3 linked regions of the Oryzias latipes genome follow. The protein of the gene in region 1 binds, or shares a complex with, the protein of each later gene. Links are inferred from orthologs where the notes say so. Each region holds a gene or a part of one and is shown in the gene's direction. Other genes may lie near its edges.

Evidence for each region.
Region 2: the proteins of serine/threonine-protein phosphatase 2A 55 kDa regulatory subunit B alpha isoform (region 1) and fam122b are in contact, whole or in part, in a cryo-EM structure (PDB 8SO0), measured with the Homo sapiens proteins. The link is inferred for Oryzias latipes from reciprocal best matches to the Homo sapiens genes PPP2R2A and PABIR1. Residues at the interface, in NP_002708.1 of Homo sapiens: Phe84, Leu87, Lys88, Ser89, Leu90, Tyr178, His179, Asp197, Met222, Glu223, Leu225, Thr226, Glu227, Val228, Tyr337, Asp340, Phe343; in NP_612206.5 of Homo sapiens: His81, Ser82, Ser83, Arg84, Leu85, Ile88, Lys89, Glu92, Arg99, Glu100, His103.
Region 3: the proteins of serine/threonine-protein phosphatase 2A 55 kDa regulatory subunit B alpha isoform (region 1) and arpp19 are in contact, whole or in part, in a cryo-EM structure (PDB 8TTB), measured with the Homo sapiens proteins. The link is inferred for Oryzias latipes from reciprocal best matches to the Homo sapiens genes PPP2R2A and ARPP19. Residues at the interface, in NP_002708.1 of Homo sapiens: Lys18, Gly19, Ala20, Asp23, Asp24, Asp29, Ile31, Thr45, Asp47, Gly49, Arg51, Val53, Phe55, Val73, Thr76, Gln78, Glu81, Pro82, Glu83, Phe84, Leu87, Lys88, Ser89, Glu91, Glu93, Tyr178, His179, Asp197, Leu198, Asn221; in NP_001293124.1 of Homo sapiens: Lys42, Pro43, Gly44, Ser46, Phe48, Leu49, Arg50, Arg52, Leu53, Lys55, Lys58, Tyr59, Phe60, Asp61, Lys75, Pro93, Asp97, Leu98, Pro99, Pro103, Leu105, Val106, Ala107, Ser108, Lys109, Leu110, Ala111.

Annotation. Positions count from the first base shown.
Region 1 is NC_019870.2:24,073,836-24,078,423, reverse strand, and holds the start of serine/threonine-protein phosphatase 2A 55 kDa regulatory subunit B alpha isoform, read left to right. Parts: upstream 1-1,657; 5' UTR 1,658-1,962; coding exon 1,963-1,969; intron 1,970-4,154; coding exon 4,155-4,223; intron 4,224-4,588. UniProt on the Homo sapiens protein: Substrate-recognition subunit of protein phosphatase 2A (PP2A) that plays a key role in cell cycle by controlling mitosis entry and exit. Involved in chromosome clustering during late mitosis by mediating dephosphorylation of MKI67.
Region 2 is NC_019868.2:26,636,419-26,640,675, forward strand, and holds the start of fam122b (protein FAM122B), read left to right. Parts: upstream 1-1,397; 5' UTR 1,398-2,210; coding exon 2,211-2,335; intron 2,336-2,424; coding exon 2,425-2,503; intron 2,504-2,576; coding exon 2,577-2,630; intron 2,631-2,857; coding exon 2,858-2,901; intron 2,902-2,975; coding exon 2,976-3,030; intron 3,031-3,077; exon of another isoform or gene 3,078-3,227; intron 3,228-3,286; coding exon 3,287-3,388; intron 3,389-4,173; coding exon 4,174-4,257. UniProt on the Homo sapiens protein: Acts as an inhibitor of serine/threonine-protein phosphatase 2A (PP2A) activity. Inhibits PP2A activity by blocking the substrate binding site on PPP2R2A and the active site of PPP2CA.
Region 3 is NC_019864.2:15,338,519-15,342,227, forward strand, and holds arpp19 (cAMP-regulated phosphoprotein 19), read left to right. Parts: upstream 1-1,540; 5' UTR 1,541-1,699; coding exon 1,700-1,744; intron 1,745-2,223; coding exon 2,224-2,349; intron 2,350-2,438; coding exon 2,439-2,609; 3' UTR 2,610-3,187; downstream 3,188-3,709. UniProt on the Homo sapiens protein: Protein phosphatase inhibitor that specifically inhibits protein phosphatase 2A (PP2A) during mitosis. Inhibition of PP2A is enhanced when ARPP19 is phosphorylated.

The DNA of each region.
Region 1 (4,588 bases):
ATCTTTATTAACAATTTGGGAATCAAAACATAGTTTTGCAACACAAAGGGCACAAATAGCAGTCAAAGAAAATACATCATTTTGGAGTTTTTTTAATAACACAATCATTTCGTTTTTGGGGGAAATTGCATGTTCATAAAAGGAAAACTTCAAACTTCATTGTAAACCTTTTTTGCACGAATGAATGCAACATGGTAATCATCAAACAAAAAGAAAAAAACACAAAAATGCAATTTCAACCAATGTAATTTTTGAAAATGTACTTTTTTTCCCCCCTTGACATTCACACTTTTGTTGCATACTGTATGATGTTTATGAATAAAAAAAAAATTAAAAAGAAAAAAGGACCCACAGTAAGAAATCACGTATAAAAAAAGAAAAATACAAAGCATATTCCTATTAATTAGAAACTTAAAAACATGGGGAGGAAAAAGTAAGAGCATCAGCAGATTGTATTTTTCAAATGGGTTCCAAGTTTTTAAACCTATAAATTCCTTTTGAGTTTTTAATTGATTCATCCTACTTTGCAATTTCACAAAGAAAATGGGTAAAAAGGTTTGTGATGGGTATATTTATATTTGAAAAATAATTAATAATTGTGGGGGGTTTCTGGGGGTAACGACTTCACCTTAAAAACAAATTCGATTTTGCAGATTTTGTGAACCACCTTCACATTTTTAGTAGAACCATCTGGAGGGGCAACAAAGCCAACATTACCAACAACAAAAATCTGACTTTTGAGACCAGAAAAATGTAGCTGTGTGGTCAAGGCTAAACCTTTTTTAGGTTTTAAATTTTTCTATTATATATTTTATTTAAAGTATTTAATTTGCTCAGCTAGCATATTATATTTTATACCATCAGACCAGTTCTAATTTTTAAAAACTTACTTTTTTCTGCTAATTTATCTTAAACTTTTAAACTTAGCTGTTAAATATCTTGCAGGTTAATTAAATGCAATCAAAGACGTTTTTGCAGTAAACTTAGTTTTTCTAATGTTAAGCATGAACATGCTAAAGTATAACGGAGCAGTAAAAGTATCAAACAGGTCAGTGTGACCATTGGTTTAATCCAGATGTCTGCTGACTGAAGCTCCAAAACGAATTTGGCTCTCTGGTTACAGAAAAATAAAACGTTTTTAATTTAAATAAGTAACTGTAAAGTAAAAAGAAAAAAAGCAAACTGACTTAAATGACCTCATACACAAACAGTTGAAGAACAGTACGCATTAACAGGTTGAACGAAAACGTTATGCCAGATTTTTGTGCGCCATGTACCACAGAAAATCAACTGGAGGTCAGTGAGCAAAACCAAAATTAAGGTGCACCGGATTATGAGGCCTCAGGGTGTCTTTTATTTTGAAAGGATGTCATGTCAACCTCTGTCAAAAGTTATAAACTATTTCATATTTTGAAAAATATATATTTTCTCTGTATGTTAATCTTTTTGTATGCAAAAAAAAATTATGTTTATCATAACAATAACATAAATACATATCGGTGTCCTATTTTTTCTAAACGATGAAGTCATATTTTTTGGTTCTGTTTAAGTATTAAAGGTTGCAGAGCCCTGCTTTTAGGCCTTTCTAATCTTTGACAAAACATCCGTCATGCGCGTGCACATTATAAAGAGGGTTTGGTTCACGTGCGGAAGAGACTCGAGGGGAGTTTGAAGAATTGACTTCTGGGATGCGGAGCAGCCGGCGGCAAGAGAGCGCGAGACACCAGCACCACCGCGGGGGAGTGAATGTTTCCAGGAGCAGCAAAGAGACGAGCGGGAACTCCGAACCGCGCAGTTTGACTTAAACACACACATTGTTCTGCTTTGCTCGGTGAACAGAGGCTGAGTGGAGGAGGGGGGGGAGGGAGGAAAAAAAAGTTAAGATCCCACGAATCAGCGCGTGGGAGTGGGAAGCAGGATCGTGACCAACTGACTGAGGCAAGCTCCACTGTCTGTCTCGCCATGGCAGGTAATTCGTCTGGACTGTGTTAAACGTTCTGAAAAAAAATGTTTTTTTTCATTGTTAAAACGTCGTTTCTTGGTCGTCTCTGCGTTCCGGGAGTCAGGTTTTATTCACCCACCAGTTCATTTCTGTTTTAGCTAACGATAGCTAGTTAGCCGAACTTGGCTAGTGCTAACCTAAGCTATTCACAGAACTCGACTGTCCTCGCGCAACAACAGAAACATTTGCCGGTTAAAGCTAGCTTACCAGTTACCGTTACAGCTGTTTTGCTGTTATCTACACAAATAGGTTGCATTACTAACCTGATAATGATATGCATGGCAGTTTAGCCAAATCTGTTAATAATTTTGTGGCACCGGCATGAAATAGTGTTAAGTTTTTGTAGCTAATGGCCGAGTATTTCGCTCGTACACGGAGGTTTTCTTTTGGTATACTTCTGTGCAAACCTCTTAATGGAATAACAACACACAAGGCTGCGAGTTATTAACCCAAACGTTAGGGCAAGCTCAAAGTAGCGCCACAGTTCTCAAACATGCATCGGCTAGCTTGGCAAGCCGTCATTGCTAGCTTTAGCGCAAACTTTGACATTGCTCACATGCAGGCTAGCAGGCGGGCCCACTGAGCTCTGAGGGAAATGTTCACGCAGTTTCTGCTTCAAAGGCTACAAGAGGCGCGGGATAACGACCATTTCATCTGTAGAGAATGCTCAGACTTTCTCTGCGATGTTTTTCATTCATTTGTTAGCTTTACTTTAGTAGCGAAGTATTGTGATTCCAGTGGGTGGGGGGGCCTCACCCCCCACCCCTATAGCAGACTTTGATTTTAAATTTGGTTTTAAAGGCATAGCAGAAACGTCAATCATGGAAAGTGTGGAATGCTTGCACGTCGTCCATTTTTTGAGTGACTCACATTTTTAGACAAATGCATTGCACAAGACTCCCCAATAAAACATTTGAGATATTTTGTTCCTCCAGTGAGTGTTTTGACTCTTTCTGGTGTGTATGCACAGAAATGATTGTACCTGCTTCCTTTGGGCTTGTTTATCCTACAAAATGTACTCTGTTAAAGTATGTGCTGCTACGTCAACCTGCTTTAAGGTGACTGTTGGAAACATTCGGTTTCAGTTTTGTAAGTGGCCACAATGATTGCAGTGCCAGAATTGTTCATGTATGTTGAGTTCCTCTTAAACCAGGCCTCAGCATGACCGCTGTTAACCAGCTACAAGACCTAAGATGAAGAGAACAGTCTAGCAGTTACTGACTGCACCCACTTTTATTGTAATTAAAAGATCATGTAGTTTTATAGCTGTGAGTTGACTCACTGGAACAGAACTGGTTTTGCAGGTGTAGACTGTCTCGAGTAATAGTGGTGTATCTTAATGTTTTAAGATATAGCTTATGTTATTTGCACATATTTATGTGGGACCAAACACAAAAAACTGATGGAAATTCATGTTGGCTGCATGTTTAGCGGACAGATGCACATTCCTGCATTACCGGCACAAATTTTAAGTACGGCCAAGTCTAAATGTTGTGGTTGGTCGCGTGTATTAACCTAATCCTAACCCTTCATCCGGGTCCGTGCAACCAAAGAAAAAGTCAGCTCTGGCTGCGTGTATTTTGAAAATTCTGTGTGAATGATCACTTTCTTAAAAAAGATGCTGCACAGTTTTCTACCTAAGTGGTGGTGCATGTGTGCACGTATGATCATTAAAATATTGCGGTAATGGTCAGTGGAATCATTGTTAGACCCTGGATCTCAGACAGGTCCCAACACTGATCTTTTCTGAAGTAATTCATGAATATTATTGAGCACAAGTTCTAACTGCTGCCACCAGGGAAGAGATGCAGGTCCTTCAGAGCCAGGACCAACAGACTTGAAAAAGTTTTTACCCATGCTCCATCAGGCTCCTTAATGATACTGTCAACACCCAGTCACCCTTTATGTATGGATTTGTACTTTTTTGGTTTTTAATATGATTTTCTTGCACTTTGGCATGTTGGCCACTTTCAATTCTGTCTTGCTCCTTGGCAGATGACAACGAAGTGTGTCATTCTTAAAAAGCATTTTTCACTAGGTTTAGAGCAATATTAAGTCAATAAAATCTTCTTCAGTTAAGTCATTCTGGTGTTTGAAGCAGACGGCAAGAAGAGTCACTGAAGATAATCCACTCATTTTTCTCTTCTCACAGCACCTGGAGGTGACATGCAGTGGTGCTTCTCTCAGGTGAAAGGAGCCATCGATGATGATGTCGCTGAAGGTACGAAGAACCATTTGAAATACAGTTTTGTTTAGAAAAATTAAAAATACAGGTATAACAATTTATTTTCAACAATTATTTGATTCATATCATTTGTAGTTGCGATACGAGTCATAGTGTATATTTGTTCAATTTAAATGATCCGATTTGATCAAGAATTAATGGCAAATTCATTCACATTGTCATAAAGTTGTTTTCAACATCAAAATAATAAAAAAGGAACACGATTAGAACATTCTACCACACTGAGTGGTCACATGTCTTTGCAGAACTCTGTTTCCACACGTTGGACTAGAATGATGGACTGATCATTTTTTGCTGCATCACATGTGTACTGTCTGCTGTAATGCACAAACTTATCATGG
Region 2 (4,257 bases), on another chromosome or scaffold:
TCAGTTTTGTGAGTGTATTATTTAAAAATTCTGTTCTTCAGGACTAGACGTAATACTAAAGTAAGCCAAATAATGTTTATCTGTGTAAATGTAAAGGCCATTTGTACAGAGCCCCTAAAGGGTCATTGAAGGAAAAAAATAAAAAACTATCGGCTGCGCACCAGTCAGTATCGGCTGCGCACCCGTCAGTAACGGCTGCACAACTGTTACTAGGTAATTTGCGCACAGAGAAATGTTCCCAAGTTACCTGGAAATGGCATTCTGTGAGCTAATTGAGTTTTACTTTGCTTTTTGACTTGTCTACAAAGAGATTGCAGCTTTGCCTGCGTACCGTCACAATTACATCATCTCTGAACGTCATCTTAAACGAGTTTTAAAGTAATGTGGTTGTTTCAAAAAAGGGTCTAAATTATATTTGGCATATGGATTCTTTCGACAGACTAAAGCCATTTATTTGTATTAATGGCTGTTAGTAACTGGTCAAACAAACAATTGAAGTTAAAAAAAAATTTCCTTCAATTACCCTTTAGGGGCTCCGTGATTTTGGCAAAAGAAAAAGGTAAACGATTTTGAAAATAAAGGTTTAGAAAATATAAAAACAATGTTTGTGTAGCAAAAGCTAAATTAGCTGAGCAAATTGATGTGAAATAACCTGACAGCAAACCATATGATTTGAACATATAGGAAAATTTAAACCTGTCTGATAACAGACACAAACATAAAGCAGAACAAATCACTGGAAAAATTATAAATGTTCAGCATTGCACAAGAATTGTTTTTTTTTTAATTTGCTAAAATAATTGTTTTAAAAGTTTAGCAATGCTAATGTAAAAATTTGATGCTGAATGAGTTAAACAAATCGACTTAAATGCTTTATACTTATGTTTGGCAAGAGAAATATAAAAAAAAACGTTATAATAACGAACAGTTCATTGGGAAGTTGCAGATGCATAAATTAGATGCTAAATTAGCTTTATAAATTGTTGTGAAAAGTTAGCAACTAAAGTTAAGCAAAAGAAGCGTAAAAAGCTAAATGCAAAATTAGCTTTAGAAATGTAACATGTTGAAACAGCTGAACAACTATATCAATAAAAGCTGGGTGTTTATCAAATAAAACAAATTATTACATTATTTTTATATATTTTTTTTGACGGGGACATCCTCACTTTATTTTAAAAAAAGATATATCTGTTTTATGGACACGACAGTTAATGAGTAAAGCTTAACTAATGTGGCGTAATCGATGATTTTCTGGGAAATATTTGTCCTCCAGGTACAGTGCTTGGTACATTCCATGGTTTGGTCCCAGAATGTCCTCGCGCCGGCAAATGGAGCGTTTTCATTGGACATTAACATTAAAAAAAGGGGCGTGGATTTTTTTTTTTTTTTTTTTTTTTTGCCAGCTCCTGTGTGATCTGGGATTCTAGTTCATTCGTGGTTGGCGGCTCGCAGAAACGAAACATAAAATTTGGGGAATTTTTCACTACACTTATTAGCTCAGTTAATTCTATAAGAATTTTTTTTACGGATAAAAATGTTTAGTGAATCTGTGTCGCAGCTTCGATCCATCCATAGAATATGTATTGAAGCTATTGGGGTCAATGCTAGCTTAGCATGCTAGCTCGTTGGGCTAGGTTTCACTGCTGTTGGTTATGGCTGAACCATTCTTTCGGCTCTCAGTCTCACAGTAAGCAGTTAGCTATAGAAGCTATGCTCGTCATTTGAAAGCAATGTTTGCGCTTTAGAGTTGCTTAAATTTGGTTTAACTGAATGCTGCTGCCTGACTAGTTTGGCTAGCGCTAGCTCATTTTAAGGCGCTAACATGAAGTTGTAGCTCGCCAACCGCTTCTGCCTCGCAGACTAAGTAACGGGCATTGTGTGGTATGTAGCCTTGGCGTGCTAGCCATCACGCTGCAAAGTTGTGACTACTTGTAGCACTCCGTGTAATGATAACACAGGCTGTTTTAGACGTCGCCGTAAATTGCGCTAAAATTAGTATCCCACTGTATGGTCAAACTCTTTAGTTCGTGCGCCCATACGGACGAAGGGGGGCCTCTGTGAGTTGCTGTCGTTGGTTTTGTATCCCGGTTTGATAGCACATTTTAATCATGTAATAGCAGCTGGGGTAGGACGTCAGTAATGTGGCATTACTGAACCAGTCGGCCATTTGACGTTCACGGATCGGTGACGGACTGGCCCCTTCCAGGAACATGAACAACTCCGGAGTCATGCCCCAAGAAAAGATGGAGCTGGATCTGGAGATCCCATCCTCCTTAGTGCAGGTCGACGGACATCTGAGAAGATCCAACAGCGCTCCCATGATCAATGGCTTGAGGTTCCTCGTTGATTTCTTTCTAAGTGTGCCCACGTGCTTGCTTTTGGATCATGGGAGAATACAAACAGGTCTCCATCTGTCATTTGCAGCGATAACTCCCAGGTATTCCACAGAGAGGTTCTGCGCAGTCGCAGAAACAGCACCACAGTTGTCAACAGGCCCAACATGGTACAGTTCTGCACTTGGCATTTGTCTGCAGCGTTTTTGAAGCGACAGTAATAACTTTCGCGTCCACACACAGGTCCCATCGTCACCCATCCGTGTCCCCAGCACCAGACTCCACCAAATAAAACAAGTAAGCGCCTGAGGGCACTGCCCAGTGCATGAGTGAGCATGTCAGACCACCGGTTCCCTTTGATTATGAGGGTTAACGGTGTTTAAAAACATGCAAGAGCAACACTAGAGTTAAAAGGACCATTGATCTGATGATCAACTGGTAGTACCAAACTCCTACAAAAAAAGAAAAGTTTGACGATTGTATTGATATGAATGAGTTTTCTTATCTATTTTTCTGTATTGCAGGAAGAGGGAGTGGACGTTATGAACAGGGAGACTGCTCATGAACGGTGAGCTCTACAGCTTGTTTTTGAGTCAAAATCCAATGTTTCTAAGCTCATCTTTTAATATTTTTCTCTCACAGGGAAGTTCAAGCTGCCATGCAAATGAGCCACTCCTGGGAGGAAAGTCTTAGTCTGGTAAGAGATAGTTTCTAACCACACTTTCAGTGTAATGATGGACTTCGGTGCATGTTTTGGCCCTCTTTGCCGTCTGTCCGTGACAATAGGGGGGTCAAGCAAAAACATGCTAGATTAACGCTGAAATATTCGGGAGCTAACAGGGCCACCAGTCTTTCAAGGCCAGACTGAGTCGGTAGTATAAAACTCCCACAGTTGCCAAAGCATGTATGTTTCAAGCTGCCTTCATTCATGTCATGTGTTGCTGTTTTCTCAGAGTGACAATGATTTGGAGAAAGTGGCTTCTTCATCGCCAAAGCGAGTTGACTTTGTGCCTGTGTCGCCGGCCCCGTCCCCAACCAGAGGGATAGGAAAGAAGGTACCGTGCTCTTTTAGAAATCATCTTGGCAAAGTCACCCATCTCAACTCGAGGCTCCTTTTGGCCTAAATCTGAACTTAAAGAGGACATGAACCTGTCTTTTTAACCCTCAGTAGTCCCTGGACTCACATTTGCTGTTGACGCAGGAAGGAATCCATACCCCTCATTAGCGTAGCTTTCCTTCAAAATTCAATGTGAAGGTTTTAAAAAGTTTGTAGCTTTGAAATGTTTGGTTTAAAAAAAAAAAGTTATGCTACATACCTGTAAGACCTCCTGGAATAAATTCTTGTTTCTCCGGAGGAGCTTTGCCTGGTTTTTAGATATTTTTCTACATTGTTTTGACCTCGTCTTTGCTTTGATTGTGGATTTACCGGTATATATTTTTATTTTGCCTCCACTTGTTCGATCTTTTGTTCTAAAACATAAAATGTTTGATCTCAATATTTGTAACTTTTTTTCAGCAAAAAAGGGACAGATTTACCACTCGGAATTGTGTCTTTTTGGACAAGTTCATTGTGGAATTATTTTGCTATATAATGAAAGATATATATATATATAAATATCTGTAAAAAATACAAAAAAAATAGATATAAAGGATTGCCACGAAAGACTAAGATTAATTAATCAAACAAATAGTAAAGCAGAACAAAAGGCCCCATACTACTAAGTTTTAATGTGCTTGTTGTTTATTTGTGAACAGAACAAATCCTACTGATTTACAGACAGATTCTTAATGGCTCTCCTAATATTTGTTCTTTGACCTCTTGTTCTTGTCTTTCAAGCAGCAGTGTTTCTCTCCTTCGCTCCAAATCCTGGTGAGCTGCAATGGTTTGACGCCCAGCCCGATACCCAGCCCCACGCGCAGGTTC
Region 3 (3,709 bases), on another chromosome or scaffold:
TGAATATGCCTACAGAAAACTGAGAAAAGTTTGTTTGATAAATACCCCAAATAATTTATTGACAAATATTTATAACTTGGTAGTGCTCATCTCGTGCATTGTTTCAAACCCAAACATTTTTGCCAACCATTCACCATCCACATGTTGAAACGGAGCTTTGCATGTACTCTGCTTTAACAGAGGAGGGGAATCTTCCAAATGGTGTTTGGCATGGACCGTCTGAAGAGGGAATTAAGAGTTCACCTAGATTCTGAAATTATTAGAAAGCTATTTTTTGCTCTCATAGCTTTTTGGATCTAGTTTATCGTGATTCCCATAGACCCGCACAATGTTCACAAGTGGGTATCATAGTTTTATGACTGATATATCTGTCAGAAATGCCAGGAACATGAATTACTTGCCTGATTTGATCAGTATCTGTAAAGGTTTTATTCTGGAAAAAAAAGGGTAAGAATACACAAAATATTTTAAGTGTACACCAAGAAGCCAAATAATGCATCCACAAGTGCAGGTGCAGTGCTTTAATGTGGCGGTCCCAAGTTTGGATAAATGCTGAGGGTTGTCATGAAAGATCTTAGTAAACATATTTTCACTGTGATAACTTCTACAACAGGGATCTGCAAAAGAGCCATTTGGGACAATTTCTCACTGATCCCTGTAGGAGCCACAGTCTTACTTAGCCTTTGAAGAAGATTTTACGACACACACACACATACATACATACACAAAAGTTTTTCTAAATATAAAATTATAATAATTTTTAACAAAGGGTCTTATAAATTCCTTTTATAATTAGACACCCTGAGCAAAAAAAGATCGTCCCATTGCAGGAAATGTAATCCAATGACGACTTTTGAACAGACACTTTTTTTTTTCTCTTGTTAAACCACTTTTGAGTGTTGTCATGTTTTTCCTTTTCCTTACTAACTAATGCAGAAGATCAGACATTTTACTCAAGTTTTGTTCAGGATTACAAACCTGTGCGCCTAATGTTACTGCAATAGAAGGACTTCAGCCATACATTTCTTTTTTTATCAATGACTAAGTAAGGTTTACTTTTAGAATTACTATCTTAAATTGTTTTTTTTTAGCCCGAGAGCCAAAGCAGAGTGTTAAAAGAGCCACATGAGGCGCAGGTTGCAGAGCCCTTATCTAAAAGAAGCTCAAATTAAGAATAGAAAACCTAATATCAGCTATACTTTAGATTTCTTTTCTAGGAATAGTTTTTGTAATTAGATTTGACTATTATGTATGATTATGCACCCTCGCTTTATACATTTTCTGCATTGCACATGTAAGTTTGTATTGTAAATAAAGGATATTCAGAACATTAACACAACTTGGCTATAAAATAGGCCCCATTTCAGATATAGAGAAAGGTAAGTGCGCATATTTATAAATACATTCCAAAACAACCATTTCAAGTTTATCATTTATTCTTTCTTTTTGTAAATGACGGTTAAATAAATAATCCACCACAGTGATCAGATCAGTCTGATCAGTGCCGCATGAGTCTCTGGTCTCGATTTAGCGTCCTGTCTGGAGAGGAGGGCCTGCGTGCGTGACAGTGACAGGCTGTCTGCCGCCCTCGCTGCTGGGGTAACTGCTGCCTCACAGTCACATCCTCCACAAATCACTAAAGCGGACCCACGGGTTGCATATTCATCTGAGCGCTCACAGCGAGGCTATCGGGGCAGCGATGTCGGAGGAAAATGACGAGACGAAGGCTTCAGACGAACAGCAGGTTAACGGAGATTCTAGCGGAGACATGTTTTATACTAACTCAGTAGCTAGCTGCTGTTCAAATCGGGGAGAATTAGCAGGCGGTAACAAAGTTAGCCTGTGGGCTAGCTTTGTGTTGCTTAGCTGGTCAGAAATGTAAAATAAAAATATGGTTTGTAATTTGAGCAATTTTGTGGTTTTTGTTGACTTTAGGTTAAAGTTAGATTGTTTGACTTGGGTGGATGCTAATAAAACTTGAGTGGTGCATTTAAAGAAAAAAAGCTAACAATGACTGCTGCTACAGTTAGCCACGCTAGCTTGCCTCGAGATCAATGCTAGCTTTCTGCACATCTATGTTTACTTTCCCTCCTGACTTCTTCCTCACATTCAGAGGCATCTTTCAGAATAACATCTCGTTGACTTAACTCATGTTAAACCAGGTTCATGCCTAATTTTAAAAAAGATTTTCTGGTTGTTGTCGGATCCACCCCCCTCCAACAGGAAATGGAGGAAACCGTGATCAGTCCAGAAAAATCAGAGGAGGCCAAATTGAAGGCCAGGTATCCCAACCTTGGAGCCAAACCAGGGGGCTCAGATTTTCTCAGGAAACGACTTCAGAAAGGAGGGGTGAGTCTGGGATTCAACTCCTTCCATTCCTCCTTTTTTTTTTTTTTTGGCCCCGGATCTCTAATATATGCATTTATCTCTGTTTCCAGCAAAAATACTTTGACTCTGGTGATTACAATATGGCCAAGGCAAAAATGAAGAACAAGCAGCTGCCGTCTGCCCCAGCAGAGAAGACTGAGATCACAGGGGGGCACATCCCAACGCCTCAGGATCTGCCTCACAGAAAGACCAGCATGGTGACGAGCAAACTTGCTGGTTGAGGGTTTTACTTTCACTGTTTTGCTACCATTCCATATTTCACTTTATATCTGCATGCCGTTTACATTTCTTCAGGTTTTGCTTTCGGCTTTAAGAACAAAATTTATTAAGCCAAATACGTTCCTGTGTTTATTACTAATTGAGGAATCGAGTAGTTCATTAAAATTTCCTACAGGAAAAATTTCACAATTCTTCTCTTTTGTCCACGTTATGTACTTTTCTGATTGTGTGGTTTTATTTAATTGTGTGCTTTAAAGCGAGTGAAATTTAGCCAGTTGTGTCCACTTCATGCTCCCCAACATTGTTTTTTGCGATGACTTGCTGCTTTGCGCTCCATCTCATTCAAATCTACTGACCTTTAAAGCAGTGAAACCGTTGTTGCTCCTGAGCAATATTTGCTCCATCAGCGAGAATTTGTGTTGTTGATTCTTGCCTGAAGTGACTTTCTCTGACTAGAAATGCTTAACAATTTTATGAGAAGAACTTCCCAGAACATGTTTATAGTGTGCAAGTGCATTGGCTGTGCATATAAACTGTGCCATTGGTTTTGTAAATAAAATAGTTTTGCATAATATCTTGCATTTGATGGTCTTTGTGTTCAGTTATTGCAAATTTTGTTTTGAAATTGCAGGGCTGCAGTGCTGGCAAAGGACAACTGGGACCTTTTTCAGTGTTTTAAGAAGATACTTTAGTTACTTCATTGTCAGATTTAATATTTTACTAATTCTGTCTTTAAAATATATGTATATGACAATTTGCAAGTCAGACGTATTTTGCACAAGTACAACAGAAGTAACTATTTATTTATGACTAAGATAATAAACTGAGGTCTACCTAGTTGACAAGTATCAAAAGCGGTGGTTATAGTGGGTGGAGTTAGGGAAAACTGTATTTTTGTAGAGAAGCATTACTTAAAGACCCACTCTGTTTATCTTTTGATCCATTGTAAAACCATTTTTAGTGGTCTTTTAATTATGAAGATGCCATTTTTTTTAAGCCAAAATAATAAAAAAAAAATTTAATAGTTCAGTAGAATTTCGCTTCTGAGGTTTGGCCTGAACATTTGCCGTGGAGCAACCCCACCCTTCTTCCCGTCCAAATA